Linked DNA regions of Rhinolophus ferrumequinum. The main gene of each other region encodes a partner of the protein of the gene in region 2 in a complex. Links are inferred from orthologs where the notes say so. Each region holds a gene or a part of one and is shown on either strand. Other genes may lie near its edges. The genes, in order: PSME4 and PSMB10.

Region 1 (8,569 bases), on a different chromosome or scaffold from region 2:
AGATCTTGTAAAGTTATTCAGAATGAGGTAGAGAGATAAAGACTTAAAAAATATAACAAATATGGAGATTAGACAGAGAAGGTATAACACATGTCTAATGGGAATTCCACCAGGAGAGGAGAACAAAAAAGTCATGAAAAAAAAAAAAAAGTCATGAAAAGATAATAGATGAAAATTTTGCATAACTGATGAATGATACGAATCTTTTGATTTGAGAAATACATCTTCCCTGCAAGATTAATACAAAGAAGCACACATCTAGTTACACTGCAGTAAAATAGCAAAAATGCCTAACAGAGAAAAAAACCAGTAAAATAATAAAAAATTCATTCCTTTAGCTGTGATTTCCTGCTTGTTAAAAATTGAACATATACTTTAGTTCAAATGAAGTGGATACTATAAATAGATAAAAAGGATTTTTGGATGAAATATTAAAAACTTAAAAATCATATAGGAACTAGAAAAACAGTCATTTTTCAGATCCAATATTCTGGTGTCCTTAATAACTGTAACAGCAAGAGTCTGGATACTTGATTACATTAGATGACTAATTTTTAAAGATTATGCTTTTAAATATTTTTAAAGATTATGCTCTGGCAACAGAGATTCATACACTTGTCAAAACAGCCCCAGTCCCAAATGCATCACATATAGAAAAACTAAGGCAGGAGAAGGCAGGAAACTGTCACTTTTGTTCACTGCTAATAAGTGGATTACCAAGTAGTGGGCCAATAAGTATATCAAAGACATAAATATTTGATTGATAATTATCCCTGCCAATTCTTCCAGCTTGAGAAGAAATCTCTCTCTTTAGAATATTTTCCATGAAGGGCTATTGTACTTTCAGGGTCTTCCAAAAAGGATGATTACAGTTCGCTTCCTCCAAGAGCCTAATAAGAAGCCAATGTCTCCCTCGGGGTCTGACTAAAAGGATAATGTGCGTTAATATCCTTTGGCAGAGTATCCTGAGTTCTAAGAGATTTAAAAAAAAAAAAAATGCTTGGGAGTTGTTGTGAGGAGAAAACTGACCCAGACTTTGGGTTAACTGTCTTCAGGGATGAGTAGCCTGCGTATCCCTGAACAACTTAAAGTCTACCAACTTTCTCACCTAACGGGGTTTTAATAGTGTTTTCTACTAAACTTCACATAAAATAACAGAAAGACTTTATCTCTTTTGCTCCAACAATTCTTTTGACTTTTCCAGTTCAGAAATCCACTCCCAGGAAACTTGACATCACCTGGAACTGCTTCTTTGAAGCTGTAAATCCAACATTTCAGTTCTTCCAGACCCCTTGCCCAGGCTAATCCAGTCATATCGTGCTGCGCCACTTCAGGATCGGAGTCCCTTGATCTCTCTGTTCTCTGCTTGTAGGTCCTCTTCTGTCTTCACTTTGACTTTAAGGGGAGCAGAGTTTGCCACACCAAAATATGCCTTGTTGGGATGTTGATTATTTTAAGCTGGTTATCGTTTAAGAAACAAAAGACTCCAGGAGAACCTTTGACCTTCCCCCTAACTGCCTAAAAAATTTTAGATAGAGGGAGAACCTGCTCCAGTAAGGGAGCTATTATTACAGATAACTACAGTTTAATATGAATTAACTGTGATAAACAGGAAAAAAACTACCAAAGCCTTTGATCAAAGTCTTCTTTGTGGTTTATCGTTAAAATGGGCCAACAAACATCTGTTTACCAAACATTTGCTTTCCCATCTCCATGTGAGTTGCCTTTTTTGCCTTTGAAGCCCCGAACTACAACTCCCCCCTCCCACAAGCCACGCCCCCCCCACAACCGTACCCCTTCACCTTAGTCCAAAATGGCATATAAACCTCAACTGTCAGATTTGTCCTTGGGTCTCATGTTCTTATGGAACTCTGTATGTACATACTTAATAGATTTAGTTATTTTCTCCTGTTAATCTGTCTCTTCAACTTGATTATTAGACCAGCCAGAAGAACTTAGAAGAGTAGGAAGAAACTTATTTTCTTCCCCTACAATTTCAACCAACTTAGGCACTCTTTCAAACATTCTCAACTCAATGATCGATATTTAGAGAAGAAAATTCAATGAGGTAATGTAGGTAAAGCACCGGCTGAGAGAAGTGCTCAGCAAATGGTAGCTAACACCACTACCATCACCACTGCCATCATACAGACCCTTCCCTTGCTCCTTTGTCATTCTATCATACCAGCTTGTATGTATACATTCCTGGGCTGCTAAACATTATTGGAGGAAAAAAATCACTCAATTGTGCAGAGAGACGATAGTGAATTCATGCTTCCAGCACTGTCAAGCAATTCTACTATTTCTCTAATCAGTTTTCTGAATTTTGAGACCACTCTAAACCTTTTCCAATCTCCTCAAATCTTCTACCCATCCCTTCCTCCCATCATTCTCATTCTCTTCATTCAGAGAAAAACAAAAACAGTAATCATCAAAAAGAACTTCTCCAACTTCTGGCCAACAAATCTACAAAACCTTTCTACATTTGCATCTATCCCCCTACTTTTTCCCTCTGACAATGGGAGCAACCTTGTTTACTTCTAAGGACCAATGACTCCGCCTTCTCTTCCACTCTCTGTCATCCTCACCCACACACTCATATCTTCAAACTCTCTCTCCATTGGCTCCTTCTCATCAATATTTAAACAAATTTAAATATATCCCTTGCTCAAAAATTCCTTTTTATTCCAGCTACCTCCTTCTCTCTCCTGTTCTTCCCACACAAAATTTTATGAAAAGGTAGTTCACATTTGCTGCCTCTATTTCCTGTTTGTCCTCTGTCACTGTAATCTGGTTTCCACTCCCACATTCCACTGAAACTGTTCTTATCTGCTTTATCAGTCACTGCAAGGATCCCTTCTCAGGTCTCAGTTGACCTGTCAGCCACCTTCTGTGTAGTTGATCACGTCCTCCACCTGAAACAGTTTTTAGGAATGCCCACTTTCCTAGAATGCCTCCGACCTCTCTGACTGCTTCTTGTGAGTGTTCTTTGGTCTCTCTCCTCTTTCTCTGTCCAGCTTCAAATATGGGGTTCCTCAGAGTTTGGTCAAGGGCCCTATTTTTTTCATATCGTTAAATTAATTAAACAGGAGACCCTTAGTCTGAGGTGGTAGCTAATGCCTTGGCAGCCTACTTCAGCAAATCAAAATTTAAGTGTAAATACCTCAAGGTTATGAAATCTAACCGCTAAGGACAAGCAATCACAAGTAGTCAACTAGGCTTGAAGCTACAGCCAATCAAACAGTTTCTTTCTTTGCTTTCACACCTTCTCTATAGTAAAAGTCTTTCTTCTGGCTCCAGTCAGTGGAACACTCTTAACCATTCCAGGTTTGGTGCTGCCCAATTGGAACAGATTTTTGCTCCAATAAACTCTTCAAAATTTTAATATGCCTTAGTTTATTTGTTAACAATACTCTGCATCTCATTCCCTCCGATCCACATATAGGTTAATCCATATCCCCATTGAGATCATCCTTCCTCATCCATACATCAAAATAGTAATACTTACCTACCCCTTAGGCATTCTGCCTTTAAAGCTGTTTCTGCTATGTTCTCAAGTCAGAAAAGTTTCCACTATTTACCCAGCTTCCCAAACCAGAAATCTGACATCATCCTGTCTCTTCCCTCTCTTTCACTTTTAGTATTAAGCTCAGGCCATTCTTCTTGCTTAAATAGCTCTCAATCATTTCAACTGACATCTAGACCATTGTTATGTCACATTTCCTTAAGGGGTCCTGTATTGTCCAGTATTGTCTGTTCCAATCCATTTTTAGAAATGGATTAGAACCACAAAGCCAGAGTGGTTCTTCAAAAATGTAAATTATATCATGCCACTCTTACGCTTAAAATCTTTCGGAGTTTCTTGTTGCTTTTAAGATAAAACTCTGAAAACATCCTAACACTTCCTTCTGTCTCAATTCTCCACTCCCCTCTCTTGCAAACCATCTTCAGCCATCCTTAACTTTTTGAACTTCTAGGGTGCATGCTTGCAGTCTCTGTGCTGTTCCCTCAGGTGAAATGTACTTTCTCTTCTCTTCTTTTTCTAATCAATTCAGCACTTAAGCCTTTAAACTCAATTTACGTATCACTTCTAGGAAACCACTTGACACCCCTCCAGTTTGAACTCTTTAGCTATTCCCAAGGCGTCCTGTACTTATCTAGCAATTAAAGAGTGTTGTTTTGTAATTGCCTATTCCCTAGTCTACAGCTCTGACTGTAAATGCCCGGAGGGCAGAAACTTGGTGCTCTTTAACTTTCCATCTCAAGTGCAAAGAAGGAGTCTGACACACAAAATAGTGGTACAATTAATATTTGTTGAAAGAATAACTATTTCCTTCTTTGGAATGAGGGCAGCCAGGAGAATACCAGAAAGATGAGGGCTTAAAAGGGACAGAGTAGTGAAAAAAAAAAAAAATCTATAACAAGAGGGATGGATACCGGGTCCCTAGGTTTTTCCATACACGCGGTGTGGGGAACTAGGCCAACTGCCGTGCCGGAGGCAACGGCGACTAAGGGCTCTCGAGAGGCATTCGCCAGGAGCGCCCAACACCGGCCCAGGAAGGACAATAGCTTGGAATTCGGCCTCGTGTTTCCGGCGGGGCAGCCTCGCGTTCGGCCGCTCAGGCCCGAGGGTGGGGGCTCCGAGCCCGGCCCACGGCGACGAAGGCGCGGCCCCCGGGGCTCCCGCCCCCGCCGCCACCACCTCCTCCGACGCCGTCGCCGCGCCCCGCCCCGCCCCGCCCCGGAAGTGACTTGAGGCCCGTCCGGAACCTCCGGGCCCGGCGGCTGCAGCGTCATCAGGCGAGCCGGTGCGGGGCAGGCGGAGCGGCCGCTGCCGCCGCTAACGAATTGGGGATCGCGCGGGACTAAGAGCGAGCCGGCCAGGGGAGGGGGCCCAGCTGTCGGGCCGAGGGCGACGGGCCGCCGGCGGCCTCAGGGCGACGACGACGCAGAGGAGGCGGAGCCCGGAGAGGGGTGGGGGCCGGGGAGGGTTAGGGTGGGAGGGGGTGGAGGGGTGTCCCTGGGCTCATGGAGCCGGCCGAGCGGGCGGGTGGCGGGGATCCCCCGGAGCCAGGCGGGTGTCCCGGGCCGGGCCCGCGGGCCTTCGTCCCGCAGAAGGAGATTGTCTACAACAAGCTGCTGCCCTACGCCGAGCGGCTGGACGCCGAGTCCGACCTGCAGCTGGCCCAGATCAAACGCAACCTGGGCCGGGCCGTGCAGCTCCAGGAGCTGTGGCCCGGGGGCCTCTTCTGGACCAGGAAACTCTCCACGTAAGTGTGACCGGGCCTGCAGGATGGGTCTGGGGCAAAGGCTCAAAGGAACGGCGTTCGGGGGCGGGGGCGGCTCTTTGTCCGCCCCTGATGGCTGGACCCTCAACTCTGACCGTATCGAGCCGGTGCAGTAGTCCCAGGGTCGCAACAGAAGCTTCGGAAGCACTCAAGCCTCCTCCCAGCCTCTTTCCTACGGGACCTCCTCGGTCCTTCTAGTCCTCTACGTCCGCCGTTGGTGCTTTTCCCCAGGGGTTTGGGTTGTTGTCTTCCGACCTGCGGGGCCCCGAGGGAGAGACATGTGCAGTCCCCCAAGGGTCCTTCTTGGATCTTTGCCCCTGCAGGAAGGGGAGCAGAAAGGATTCGATTTCGGCGGAGCAACTCTTGATTTCTCCTAGTTCCTCCAGTTCTTTCTTCCCCATACGATCCCCGACTCTAAATAGCCCTCAATTCGCGTCTAGTAACTTTTTCTGAATGGGAAGGAGGCCGTAGGGAGCTTGCAGGTTCTACATTTTTGGGCCTGCTCGGTCTTTGTGGATTTGATTGAAAAGATTGCTTTAAAATCAGCCCTCAGCGCACACTTAGGCTGCATACTAGACAGTAATGTTGAGAAGGTTGAGTCTTAGAACGGGGAAAGTGTATATTACTTCTGTTTGGAAATGTACAATACTACGGAAAGGAGAGGAGAACTGTCAGGTTGTCCTGGGCGTTATTAGTTATTAGTATTGGGTTTGTTACTTTTTTGAGTTGCTGAGATATAACTGTCGATTACCTAAATCAGTTTCAGGAGTTCTGTTCTTTTATTTTTTTAGCTGCGAACTATAATTGGAGAAATGAGTAAAATACAGTTGTGGGGGGAAGGTTAGAGATTTTATTTGCTAGATGGACATCTTCCCTGTGTCAGAAAAACTTTTTTAAAAAAATTTTGCTTGTCTTGTTTGGCTCATTACATAAAATGTTAACATTGTATGTTCATGCATAGGGGTATGGATGGATGAATACTTAAGACATGTCACCTATCCAGTGTTTACCCAAATCTGCTGAGTGAACTGGGTGATGACTCAGGGTTTTGTAATGCAATAGTCTTCTCTACATTTCCTCACAGGATGATTCTTATATGTCTATTATTAGGGAGCCTCTGATTAATTTCTCATCTTCACTTGGCGGTGGTGGTGGGAACAATTATCCCTTTAATTAAAAAGCAAAACTAAAACAGTTTATTTACCCTTTTCAAAGAGTGACCATAAAATGTCAAGGTTAACATCTCTCCTCTTGGTTGGAGAGTGAAGTTTGTGGTGTTCAGATCCGCAGGAGACATGGGAAAAAAGAAATGCAACAGGGAGAAGAACCACTATTAGTCAAAACAGAGAATGTTTTATAAATAATTAAAATTCACATGATTTTTCAAGTGCACCTTCCTGGGTGTTTCGATTACTCAGGCATAGTAAAAATAAAGTTACTTTGCCAGTTCCAGCAATTCCCCATTTTAATCACTTGTATTGGATTTGCCAGAGAATAACCATTTAGGGGGACACAAACAGCTCCTTTTAGATGTGTAATATATAAATATACCAATTGTGAATGCATGTCTGATTTGGATTAATGAATCTAGAATCTACACAGGCATAGTTAAGTATTGTTTTCTGACATTATTACTAAGCTTGGCAAATTATCACTTAGGGTTTTATTATTTTTGGCTTATTAAGTGAAAACCTAGATAGGGCAAAAAATACAATAGAGACAACCCTTGGTGTTTAGGGCAAGATTGCAGTTTTGTGGCTTAATATTGTGAACTTAAAGCCATTTTATTTCTAAATAACCAGCAAGAAATGCTGTCAGATAGAATTTTATTTTGGAACAGTGGTTAAGTGCTTCAAACTGATTTTTGGGATTGCCCTATGAGACAATTTGAACCCGGTGGGACATGTTGTGATCTTGGGTGTTATTTTTCCTCCTAAGTCATGTTAAGGTGACCTGTTTATAGTTGTGCTTGTTTATTAAGTCTTGTGTGCATTGCACAAGTGTACATCTAAATGATGCCAGAACATGTGATGATAGCTGTGAATTACTTGAGTAGTGATTATATTTTAGTACTTTGTAGAAGAATGGAAAGTAGTAATGAAAATAAAATCTAATTTCTCCCACTAGTTCTGTGACTGTGGAAAGTTACTTTAATCATGTTTTTCAATATTCTTGGGAGAGAAATGAGGAGGTTGGACTGAATAATTCCTGAGAAACAGTCCTGCGGTGGTATTTTATGATTTTATTTTTTATCCTGTAGAGCCTCAAATAAACCAGTGTGTATTTTTCTCCGAGGACTGTGAGCAGTTTGTAAAGTACACAGTACATTCCTAAAGAAGACCAGAGTGTACATGCTCTTCAAAGTCGCTGGGACTGGATCCCCGACCAGAAGTGTACACCCCTAATCTGAGCGTCACAGATCTGGGTGGAGGTAGAGTTCTTTCGAAGACACTCAGCCTCCCTCTTTTTAACGTTTTACCACAGTTTTGTAGATGTCATAATTCTGTTTCAATCCACTTTGAGACTTGTGGGTCTGTTTCGCATCTCTGTGAAGAAAGGTTATTTCTGGGTGTTTTAAAAATTGGTCCTGTGAAATAACACAAATTCTCTTGTACAGACAGTTTAAAGTATTAGCACTTCCTCTTCAAAAGAGATTGTGTAACATAACTCATCCACAGGGCCATTTTCTAAGAAGCAAGGAAACAAATTAGAGAAGATAGACACAAACTACTAGTGGTCTTTGGAAAACAGCAGTAAAGATAGCTGGTAGACAGTAAGTGAAAGGTATTGGCAACTGGAATGGCCCAGGTAGAGAATAAAGGGAGTTGAAGAAAGGTAGTCTTGAAAAATTGCTTTTTCTGCCTTGCCTTTCTTCTGTACCTTTCATGAAGGCAGTGAGGTCTAGTCCTAAGACCTTAGTTTATCTGTACCTGGCTTTGCCACCAACATTATTGTCTTGGTTTTCCTTAAACTCTCTTAGCTTTAGGAAAATGGGAGTGTAAATTATTAGTGTTTTTTCAAACTCAAAACTTAGCAGTGGACCGTTTCATGAAAGCAAAATCTTAAACACAAAATTGGATTCCTTAAGTAGACTAAAACTGCACTGATTATTTTTTCTTTGTAACACTTCATTGATAATAGAACCTCCTGAAGCCTGCTCAGGGCTCCAACACATATTGTTTGAAAAACTTCACTGGACTAGTCCTAAGGGTCTTTCTAGCTAGCTTGTGTTCCTTGAAATTGGTCTGGAGGAAGGAGGGGCAGCAAGTGAATGGGCCTAC
Region 2 (8,410 bases):
GGACCCTGAGAAGTTTGGGGACTTTCCCGTCCAGCACCCCAGGAGGCCTGCTCTGGCTGGAGAAGACTGGTCAGGGCTGACATGGGGTTTGAAGGCAGCCAGCCCAGGAGCGCTATTTATTGAATATTTATTGTTTGGATGTCACCATCAGAGAGAAGGGGAAGGGCAACTAGGGAGGGGAGGGAGTCTGACCCAGCCCGCCTGCTGGAAGACCTGGCTCAGGCTACTGTGGGCAGGGACCCCACCAAGCCAAGCCTAATGGAGCCAGCCAGCTGAGGCCTGCCTTTTTTCAATAAAACATTGTGTACTTCTGGGCCTCCTGCTGCCCAGGCTCTGTTTCCCCTGGCGCCACGGGAAGAAGGCGGAACTGAACCTAGGCCCAGAGCCGGCTCCCTGAGGCTGTGCCCCTTTCCGGCAATCCCTGGCCACCGCCATTGGCCAGGCTTTCCCTCCCACTGGCCCCAGGGCCCCTCCTACCCCCACTCCAGATAAGGCCAGCCCAAGACCGCTTCACTGGGCAGTAGGCACTGGGGCTGGAATGGGGCCGCCCGGCTCCCTATGGCAGTGGGTGCTGCTGCTGCTGGGGCTGCTGCTCCCCCCTGCCGCCCCCTTCTGGCTCCTCAATGTGCTGTTTCCCCCGCAAACCACGCCCAAGGCTGAGCTCAGTAACCACACAAGGCCCGTCATCCTCGGTAAGCCCCCACCAGGCCCCTGATGCAGCAGGCCAGACCTTGGGGAGCTTGGGCCCCAGCCCCTGGTAGTTGACCCTGCCAAGGCCCTCTGCCCCTGCATTAGCCCTGATCCCTGCTTCAGTGTTTGGAGGGGCCAAAGGCTTCTCCTGCAGAGAAATTAACCCCTTCCCCCCACCTCACTTCCTGTGTCTCTGAGTTATCTACCCCCGGTGGGTGGAGTGGGGGGCGGGTGTGCCTAACAGCGTGGCCAGGGCAATACAAGCTGTGGTCAGCTGCAGCCACTGAACCCTCGGCCAAGCCCCACTACTCCTTCCTCAGCCCCCACCCCAGCAGGGATAAGATGCCCAACCCAGGAGAGCAGGAGAGGCCCCTCAAGGCCTGCCCTACTCCGAGGCCCAGACCCCACTGCCCCATACCTGCTTATTCTCACCTTGGACTTTGGCAGTAATGGAGACAGGCTAGGTGTTTACTTTTGGGGGGGCAGAGGTCAAAGCCTTGGCCTCTGCACTTTCCTTGCCTGAGGGGGAGCCTGGGCTTTGTGCTGCTGGAGGGACGGGGTGGGGAGTTGGGGGGTGATCAGAAAGAGGATCTTGATCTTCATCCCTGGGGGTTGAAGGGGTGGGGCTGGTCACTGCAGGGGGGAGTGGATGGGGTGGGGACCATGGTGGGGGTGGAGAGAAATCCGAGGAATCCAGAGTGAAGGCTAGTGCCCGCAGTGCCTGGCTGCCTGGGGAATCAGCTGGAAGCCAAGCTGGATAAACCAGATGTGGTGAACTGGATGTGCTACCGCAAAACAGAGGACTTCTTCACCATCTGGCTGGATCTCAATATGTTCCTACCCCTTGGGGTAGACTGCTGGATCGATAACACCAGGTATGCGCCATCCCCTCTGTCCCAGCTCCCTCACCCGGTCCCTTGGTCACTGGCCTGCTGAATGTCCCACTGTTCCCAGGGTTGTCTACAACCGCAGCTCTGGGCGTGCGTCCAACGCCCCTGGTGTACAGATCCGTGTCCCTGGCTTTGGCAAGACCTACTCTGTTGAGTACTTGGACGCCACCAAGCTGGCAGGTGTGTGTACTGGGGAAGCGCAGGGCTCTGCCTGTGCTGGGCCGCAGGAGCCATGCCCAGATCCCCAATGCTGTTGCGTCCCCGACAGGTTACATGAACACCCTGGTGCAGAATCTGGTCAACAACGGGTATGTGCGGGATGAGACCGTGCGGGCTGCCCCCTATGACTGGCGGCTGGGACCCAGTGAGTGTCTTTGAGGATGACGGGCTTGGGGTAGGGCAGGTGGTCCCTAAACCCCACTGCCCTGACCCCATCCACTCCCACCCCCTGCAGGCCAGCAAGAGGAATACTACCAGAAGCTCGCTGGGCTGGTGGAGGAGATGCATGCTACTTATGGAAAACCCGTCTTCCTCATCGGGCACAGCCTTGGCTGCCTGCACCTGCTCTATTTCTTGCTGCGCCAGCCCCAGTCTTGGAAGGATCGCTTCATCGATGGCTTCATCTCTCTTGGGGCTCCCTGGGGTGGCTCCATCAAGCCCTTACTGGTCGTGGCTTCAGGTGAGACGGGCTCTGATTACTGGCGTGCTGTGGTGAGGTTGAGGGGTGGAATGAAGCTGACCATGGGCCTGCCCTCGCTCCTGCTTCTGCACACAATGCCATGCGGTGGGTGTCGTCTACCACCCCTGGGGCATGGCCTCTATCGTTGGCCCCCTAAGAGTAATGAGCCTGGCCTGGACCATTAGAGTGACTCCTGCCAGAGTCTGTCTCAGTGATGACAAGGGAAGTTTAACAGAGAGAAGTGAACTCCAGCAATCTGACTCACTGCCCCAGGTTTGTTCCTGTGGCCTCAGGTCCTGCCCACCCAGCTTTCAGCTGCCTTCTGCTCCCAGGAACCTTTGCCCGGGGATCTCTCCTACTGGAGACAGATCTGCCAAAGCCAGGACCAGACCCTAGGAGCCCCTCCCTGAGGAGTGCCACAGTTACTACCTGTTGAGAACCCACTGTGGATGCTGGGCCCAGCCAGACTCGGCCTCCCCTCTAGTAGCTCACAGTCTGGTGAGGGAAACCCTCAGACTACATCAGTTAGTGTCAAACACAAACACGGTCTCATTTCATCCGTCCCAGAACATAGCTCTGACCGCGGTGCAGCACAGATCACAGGGCCAACACACACCTGCCTCAGGGAGAACTGCCAGCACTAAACCCCCCACCCCCCCACCCCGACCTTTTGCACATACACATCCATCCTCAGGAAACCCCTCCCTGCCCTCTTTTTGAGGCCCTATAGCTCTGCCTCACAGAGGTGCCCTCAGGGCTTCTCATTTAATAAGCATACATTGAGCACCTACTAAATGCTAGGCCTGTTCTAGTCTGGCTTGGAGCCAATGTTTGGATTAGGTTGGGACAAAACTGAGCCTGCAGCTGAGCGTGGGCTGGGCAGCAAGTTGTGGGTCGGGGGCAGCCAGGCCTGGCTCCCTGCCTACCTTGCTCCATGTCCACAGGTGACAACCACGGCATCCCAATCATGTCCAGCATCAGGCTGAAAGGAAAGCAACGCATGACGACGACATCGCCCTGGATGATACCCGCCAACCACGTGTGGCCTGAGGACCATGTGTTCATGTCCACACCCACCTTTAACTACACAGGCCATGACTTCCAGCGCTTCTTTTCAGACCTGCACTTTGAGGAAGGCTGGTACATGTGGCTCCAGTCCCGCAGCCTGCTGGAAGGACTGCCAGCACCGGGTGTGGAAGTGTACTGCCTGTACGGCGAGGGCTTGCCCACGCCCCGCACCTACATCTTTGACGATGGCTTCCCCTACACTGACCCTGTGGATTTTCTCTATGAGGATGGTGATGACACTGTGGCCACGCGCAGCAGTAAACTCTGTGCCCACTGGAAGGGCCTCCAGCCACAGCCCGTGCACCTGCTGCCTCTGCATGGGACAGAGCACCTCAACCTAGTCTTTAGCAACCAGACACTGGAGCACATCAATGCCATCCTGCTGGGTGTCTACCGCCGGAACAACTCCACACCCCCAGCTGCCAGCCCAGAGCCCCTCCCCCCTGAATAAAGCTCATCCTTTGCTGCTGTAAGCCTTGACACATGTATTGTGGGTTGAGGGGGGGTCACTAGGGTCTGCACACCAGGATTCATTCATCAGCAGCCGCAGGCCTAGTGCTTTGTGGAGCACAGGCAACATGGGCTTTGCTAAAGCCTAGGATTGAACTGGGCACCCTGAGATATACAACTTCCCACTCTCTGGTTGAGCTGGGAAGGCAGCCTGACTTGTGTCTGCCTCTTCTCTGGGCGTGGGGTCTGGGGACAGCTGTGGGATGGGGCACATGGGTCAAAGGTTTGGGATGGGGGAGATCTGAGCTATCTCTCCCTGCTCCAAAAGGGCAGTCAAGACCCCACCTCTAGACAGGGCCTGTTGAGTGCTAGGTGAGTGACAAAAGCACAAGAGTTTAGAATCTGGCGGCGTGACAGCCACTAATGAGATCATTCATTTCACTAATGGTTTAATTATTACTGGAGCTAAGTAGTCTGAGAAAAAAGTTTAGGGAGCAACAAGGGGTTGAGTACTGGGTCAGGGAAGATTTCCCAGAGGAGGTGTTGCCTCCATTGAGCTCAGACAGATGAGAAGGGTAACATGGGTCACGGTAAGGACTTGAGTTTGAGCCTAAGGGCAGTGTGCAGCTGCTGAAGCGTTTAACCAGGGAAAGAGTGTGACCATATTTCCCATCTAGAAAGAGACCCTTCTCTGCAGGGTAGAGCTGGGGGGCGGGGGGACGAGGGCGGGCAGGAAGTGTAGGGAAGCCAGTGAGGCCAGTGCAGTAGCCAGAGGAGAGAGGAGGCTGGCTGAGACAAAGGCAATAGTTAGGAGGAAAACGTGGATAAAGGGTCACTTGGGAGGTGAAATAAGACTTAGCCATGGGTAGAGCCCAGCATGCCTCCAGGCCACTAGATGGAAAGCCATGGGGCCCCTCTTGGGAGAGGGAAGACAGCACCTGAGATAGGGACTATGAAAGGACCAGCATCAACATTGCTGAGGATTAAGCCTCTGTGTTTGAGGTTTCTGGCAGAAAGCAAAGGCAACAGGAGACAGGCAGGAATTGGGTAAAGGAGGGTGACAAGGGCCTAATGCTGGGAGACCTGTAATAATGCGGACAGAGACCTGGCAAAGGTCTGACAGCCTTAGAATGTTGGTACTTAGGTTAGAGTTGGCGTCAGAGGCACAACTAGGGGCTTAGACTGGAAGTGGCAGGAGGAGCTGACCAATGGCCAGAAGAGAGGAATGTCCTTCGGTTCAGACAGAGGACCTGGGAGCAGCATGGAGAGCCAGGCAAGGGACATCACCCCCTACCCAACCTGCTTAAGACCAGAAGTGAGGGTGAAAGCGAAAGAGAAGCAAAACACGCCAGTGTCCTCTGAGTAAAGGTGAAAGTGAAAGCAGGAAGCGTCAGTGGAGCCCCACAGAGAACAAGGCTTTGGCCCTTCGGGCTCCTGGCTGGTCTCACTCCTCTAACCATCGACCCCCAATTCCTGGACTGCCCTGCTCACCCCAAGATGCTGAAGACAGCTCTACAGACCCAAGGGGGATTCTCCTTCGAGAACTGCCAGAGGTGAGGTGGCGGATGGTTGGTCCCGAGCTGCCTATGCTCTCGGTGAGGTCTTCCGGGAGTGCAGGGCCTTTATTCCTGGTGGCGAAGGGCTGGGGGGTAACATGTGTGGGAAGACTTGGGTTCCCAGACTTACTCTGGGAGGTGAGGGAGACCGGGACGGAGTTGGGCAATGTGACGGGGGGGGGGGGGGGGGGGGGGGTCGTCCCAGAAGAACCGAAACATAGGCCACTCCCTTTCGTTTCCAGAAACTCATCCTTGGAACGGGCGCTCCCGGGGCTCCGGGTCCCTCATGCGCTCAAGACCGGAACCACCATCGCGGGTCTTGTGTTCCGAGTGAGTAGGGGGTTCGAACGGGGAGGCTTAGAGAAGCGGCCGGGGATCTGGCGGGCACTGAGCTAACGGCCTCTTTTCCCCCCTCCCCAGGACGGGGTCATCCTGGGGGCGGATACGCGGGCCACTAACGATTCGGTCGTTGCGGACAAGAGCTGCGAGAAGATCCACTTCATCGCGCCTAAAATCTAGTGAGAATTCCCCAGCCCCGTTCCCCCACGCAAGAACCGCTCCCTGGTACACGCACATCCTAGCCCCGCCTACACCGACCCTCCCTTCGCCCTCAGCTGTTGTGGGGCTGGAGTAGCCGCAGACGCCAAGATGACCACGCAGATGGTGGCATCCAACATGGAGCTACACGCACTGTCTACCGGCCGCGAGCCCCGCGTAGCTACCGTCACCCGCATTCTGCGCCAGACGCTCTTCCGGTGCTGGGGCCGAGCTAAACGTCCCTGGGGAGGGGTCGTTGCGGGGAGGGCGGGGCTGAGGAGGTGGGACGGGGGAGGGCGGGGCTGCGAGTCCGGGTAGACCGGAAGAGGCCGGCCTGAGAGGAGCCGGGCAACAGTCCTGAAGCGCCAGACCGCAGGAAGGGGCGGGGCCCGGAGCCAGGGGCGGGGTCTTGGTCCCGGAGCTTGCAGCCTAACACGGTCACTCTACGCAAAGGTACCAGGGCCACGTGGGTGCGTCTCTGGTCGTGGGCGGCGTAGACGTGACAGGACCGCAGCTCTACAGCGTGCACCCCCATGGCTCCTACAGCCGCCTGCCCTTCACGGCCCTAGGTGAGCGCTTCTGTCCCGTCCCCACAAAGCCCGCACCTGCGACCCGGGCCTCACGTTTGTCTTGTGTTGGGACGGCCTCGACTGACCTCATATGTCCCTCCTGCCTGCAGGCTCCGGCCAGGATGCGGCCTTGGCGGTGCTGGAGGACCGGTTCCAGCCGAACATGACGGTGAGCGACATCACTTACGTGGTTGTTGGTGGGAAGTGCACTCGGAGCTGGGGAGCCCAGAGGGACCCCCTGGCCTAGTCGGAAGGTCGCGGAAGGCTTCTCAGAGCAGACGACAAGTAGGTGGAGACAGAGGGGCCAGTGAAGTGAGGGTAGAGAGGTGCTGTTCCAACAGACTACTAACGGTGCCAAAACTTTGGACTGCTCCAAGAAGTCAAAGCTCAGGACCGTTTGGAGTTGAGGGAGGAGGAAACAGCAGGTGGGGTCTGAGTCTGGGTTTTGTTTGGGGTGGGACAGAAGTGTAGCTTCCAAGGTGCCTAAGGCCCAGAAAGAGAGACAATGAGCCGGTGAATTGGGGACCAAGACCATATTGGTTGGGTGGATAGGCCACTGAGAGCAGAGGCTCAAGTGAAAGTGACTCAGAAATTTCTGAAGATGGGGGCAGTGGAACAGGGGATCTCTGGAGAGAGGGAGGCAGAGAGCTGGAGAGGGGAGATGGGGGTGTAGGGGGTGAGAGGAGTTTAGGTGTGAGCAAATGGTAAGTTTGGGCTTCACGATTAACAGTCCAGGCTGTCGCCTAAGGGTGATACCAGAGGGTATCACCAGAGGGTCCACTGGGCCTCACACACACACATCTCCACAGCTAGAGGCTGCACAGGGGCTGCTGGTGGAAGCCATCACTGCAGGAATCCTGGGTGACCTGGGCTCCGGGGGCAGTGTGGATGCATGTGTGATCACAGAGACCGGTGCCAAGCTGCTGCGAACCCTGAGCTCTCCCACAAAGCCCATAGAAAGGTGAGAGCAACGGAGATGTGGGACTACATGGGAAGATGGGTGGTAGCAGGGGAGCTAGGGGGCTGCTAGAAGATGGGCCACATGTTGGTTCCATGTTGAGATACCATCCATCCTCCCTCCTAGGCCTGGCCAGTACCGCTTTGCCCCTGGAACCACAGCTGTCCTTTCCAAGACAGTGGTGCCACTGCCCCTGGAGCTGGTGGAGGAAACTGTGCAGACCATGGAGGTGGAGTGAAATAGGCTGAGCCTTAGAGCTTGGAACAAGGGGGAATAAATGCAGAAAATACAAACACCTGAAGAGATGGCTGTGTGGTTCTTGGGTGGAGGGGCCAAGCAGCCAGCAGGGCTCTATGGCTAAGGTATCCCTGCAGGAACTACTCCCTCCCACAGCTCCAGTATCTGGCCTTAGAGGTGCCCTTCACCCATCACCTTAGGCATCTACCCTCTTCCAGAACTTCAGCCCTGGCAAGCATTGCAGGCTCAAGGTGGAAAGCCACCTCCTGTCTCCACACCATAGAGGTTCCCCCTACCACTGCCACGCCTTGATCTTGCCATGTAGTCCACTGGGGACTGTTGTAAAACCCAAAAGGCCCCACTTAGAGCCTTTGCCTGGCTCATCAGTGACCCAGGACAAACCCCACACCTCTCAGTCAAGCCCCCCCCCACCCCATCGGCCCCATTGAGGGCTAAAGTGCTGACAGAGGAGCTGCCCATTTTCAAGGGCAGGTTCTTACAGAGCACTACTCACCCTGCTACACCTTTATCCGTGAAACCGTCCTGATGACCAGACTGAGGTGCTAACACAAAGCTGGGTTGTGAGTAGGGGGACTGACTTCAAGTTTTCTGGGATGATGGGTCACAGTGCTCATGTGAGGACAGATGACGTGACACATTTATCCAACAAACCTTTCCTGAGCACCCACTGACTGCTAGGCCAAGGTCCTGGGTGCTGGCAGGTGCGTCCTGCCCTCAGAATGCCTGAGCTCCTCTGGAGCCTTGGAACTGTTTGA

Evidence for each region.
Region 1: PSMB10 (region 2) and PSME4 share a complex: the UniProt entries of both Homo sapiens proteins name them as parts of the spermatoproteasome. The link is inferred for Rhinolophus ferrumequinum from reciprocal best matches to the Homo sapiens genes PSMB10 and PSME4.

Annotation. Positions count from the first base shown.
Region 1 is NC_046296.1:33,424,188-33,432,756, forward strand, and holds the start of PSME4 (proteasome activator complex subunit 4), read left to right. Parts: upstream 1-5,005; 5' UTR 5,006-5,028; coding exon 5,029-5,270; intron 5,271-8,569. UniProt on the Homo sapiens protein: Associated component of the proteasome that specifically recognizes acetylated histones and promotes ATP- and ubiquitin-independent degradation of core histones during spermatogenesis and DNA damage response.
Region 2 is NC_046298.1:17,478,600-17,487,009, reverse strand, and holds PSMB10 (proteasome subunit beta type-10), read left to right. Parts: upstream 1-4,969; 5' UTR 4,970-5,274; coding exon 5,275-5,330; intron 5,331-5,575; coding exon 5,576-5,663; intron 5,664-5,753; coding exon 5,754-5,851; intron 5,852-5,947; coding exon 5,948-6,088; intron 6,089-6,323; coding exon 6,324-6,439; intron 6,440-6,549; coding exon 6,550-6,608; intron 6,609-7,248; coding exon 7,249-7,400; intron 7,401-7,523; coding exon 7,524-7,635; 3' UTR 7,636-7,688; downstream 7,689-8,410. Other genes in the region: LCAT (phosphatidylcholine-sterol acyltransferase), read left to right, coding at 539-692, 1,409-1,565, 1,645-1,760, 1,849-1,944, 2,035-2,259, 3,204-3,778. UniProt on the Homo sapiens protein: The proteasome is a multicatalytic proteinase complex which is characterized by its ability to cleave peptides with Arg, Phe, Tyr, Leu, and Glu adjacent to the leaving group at neutral or slightly basic pH.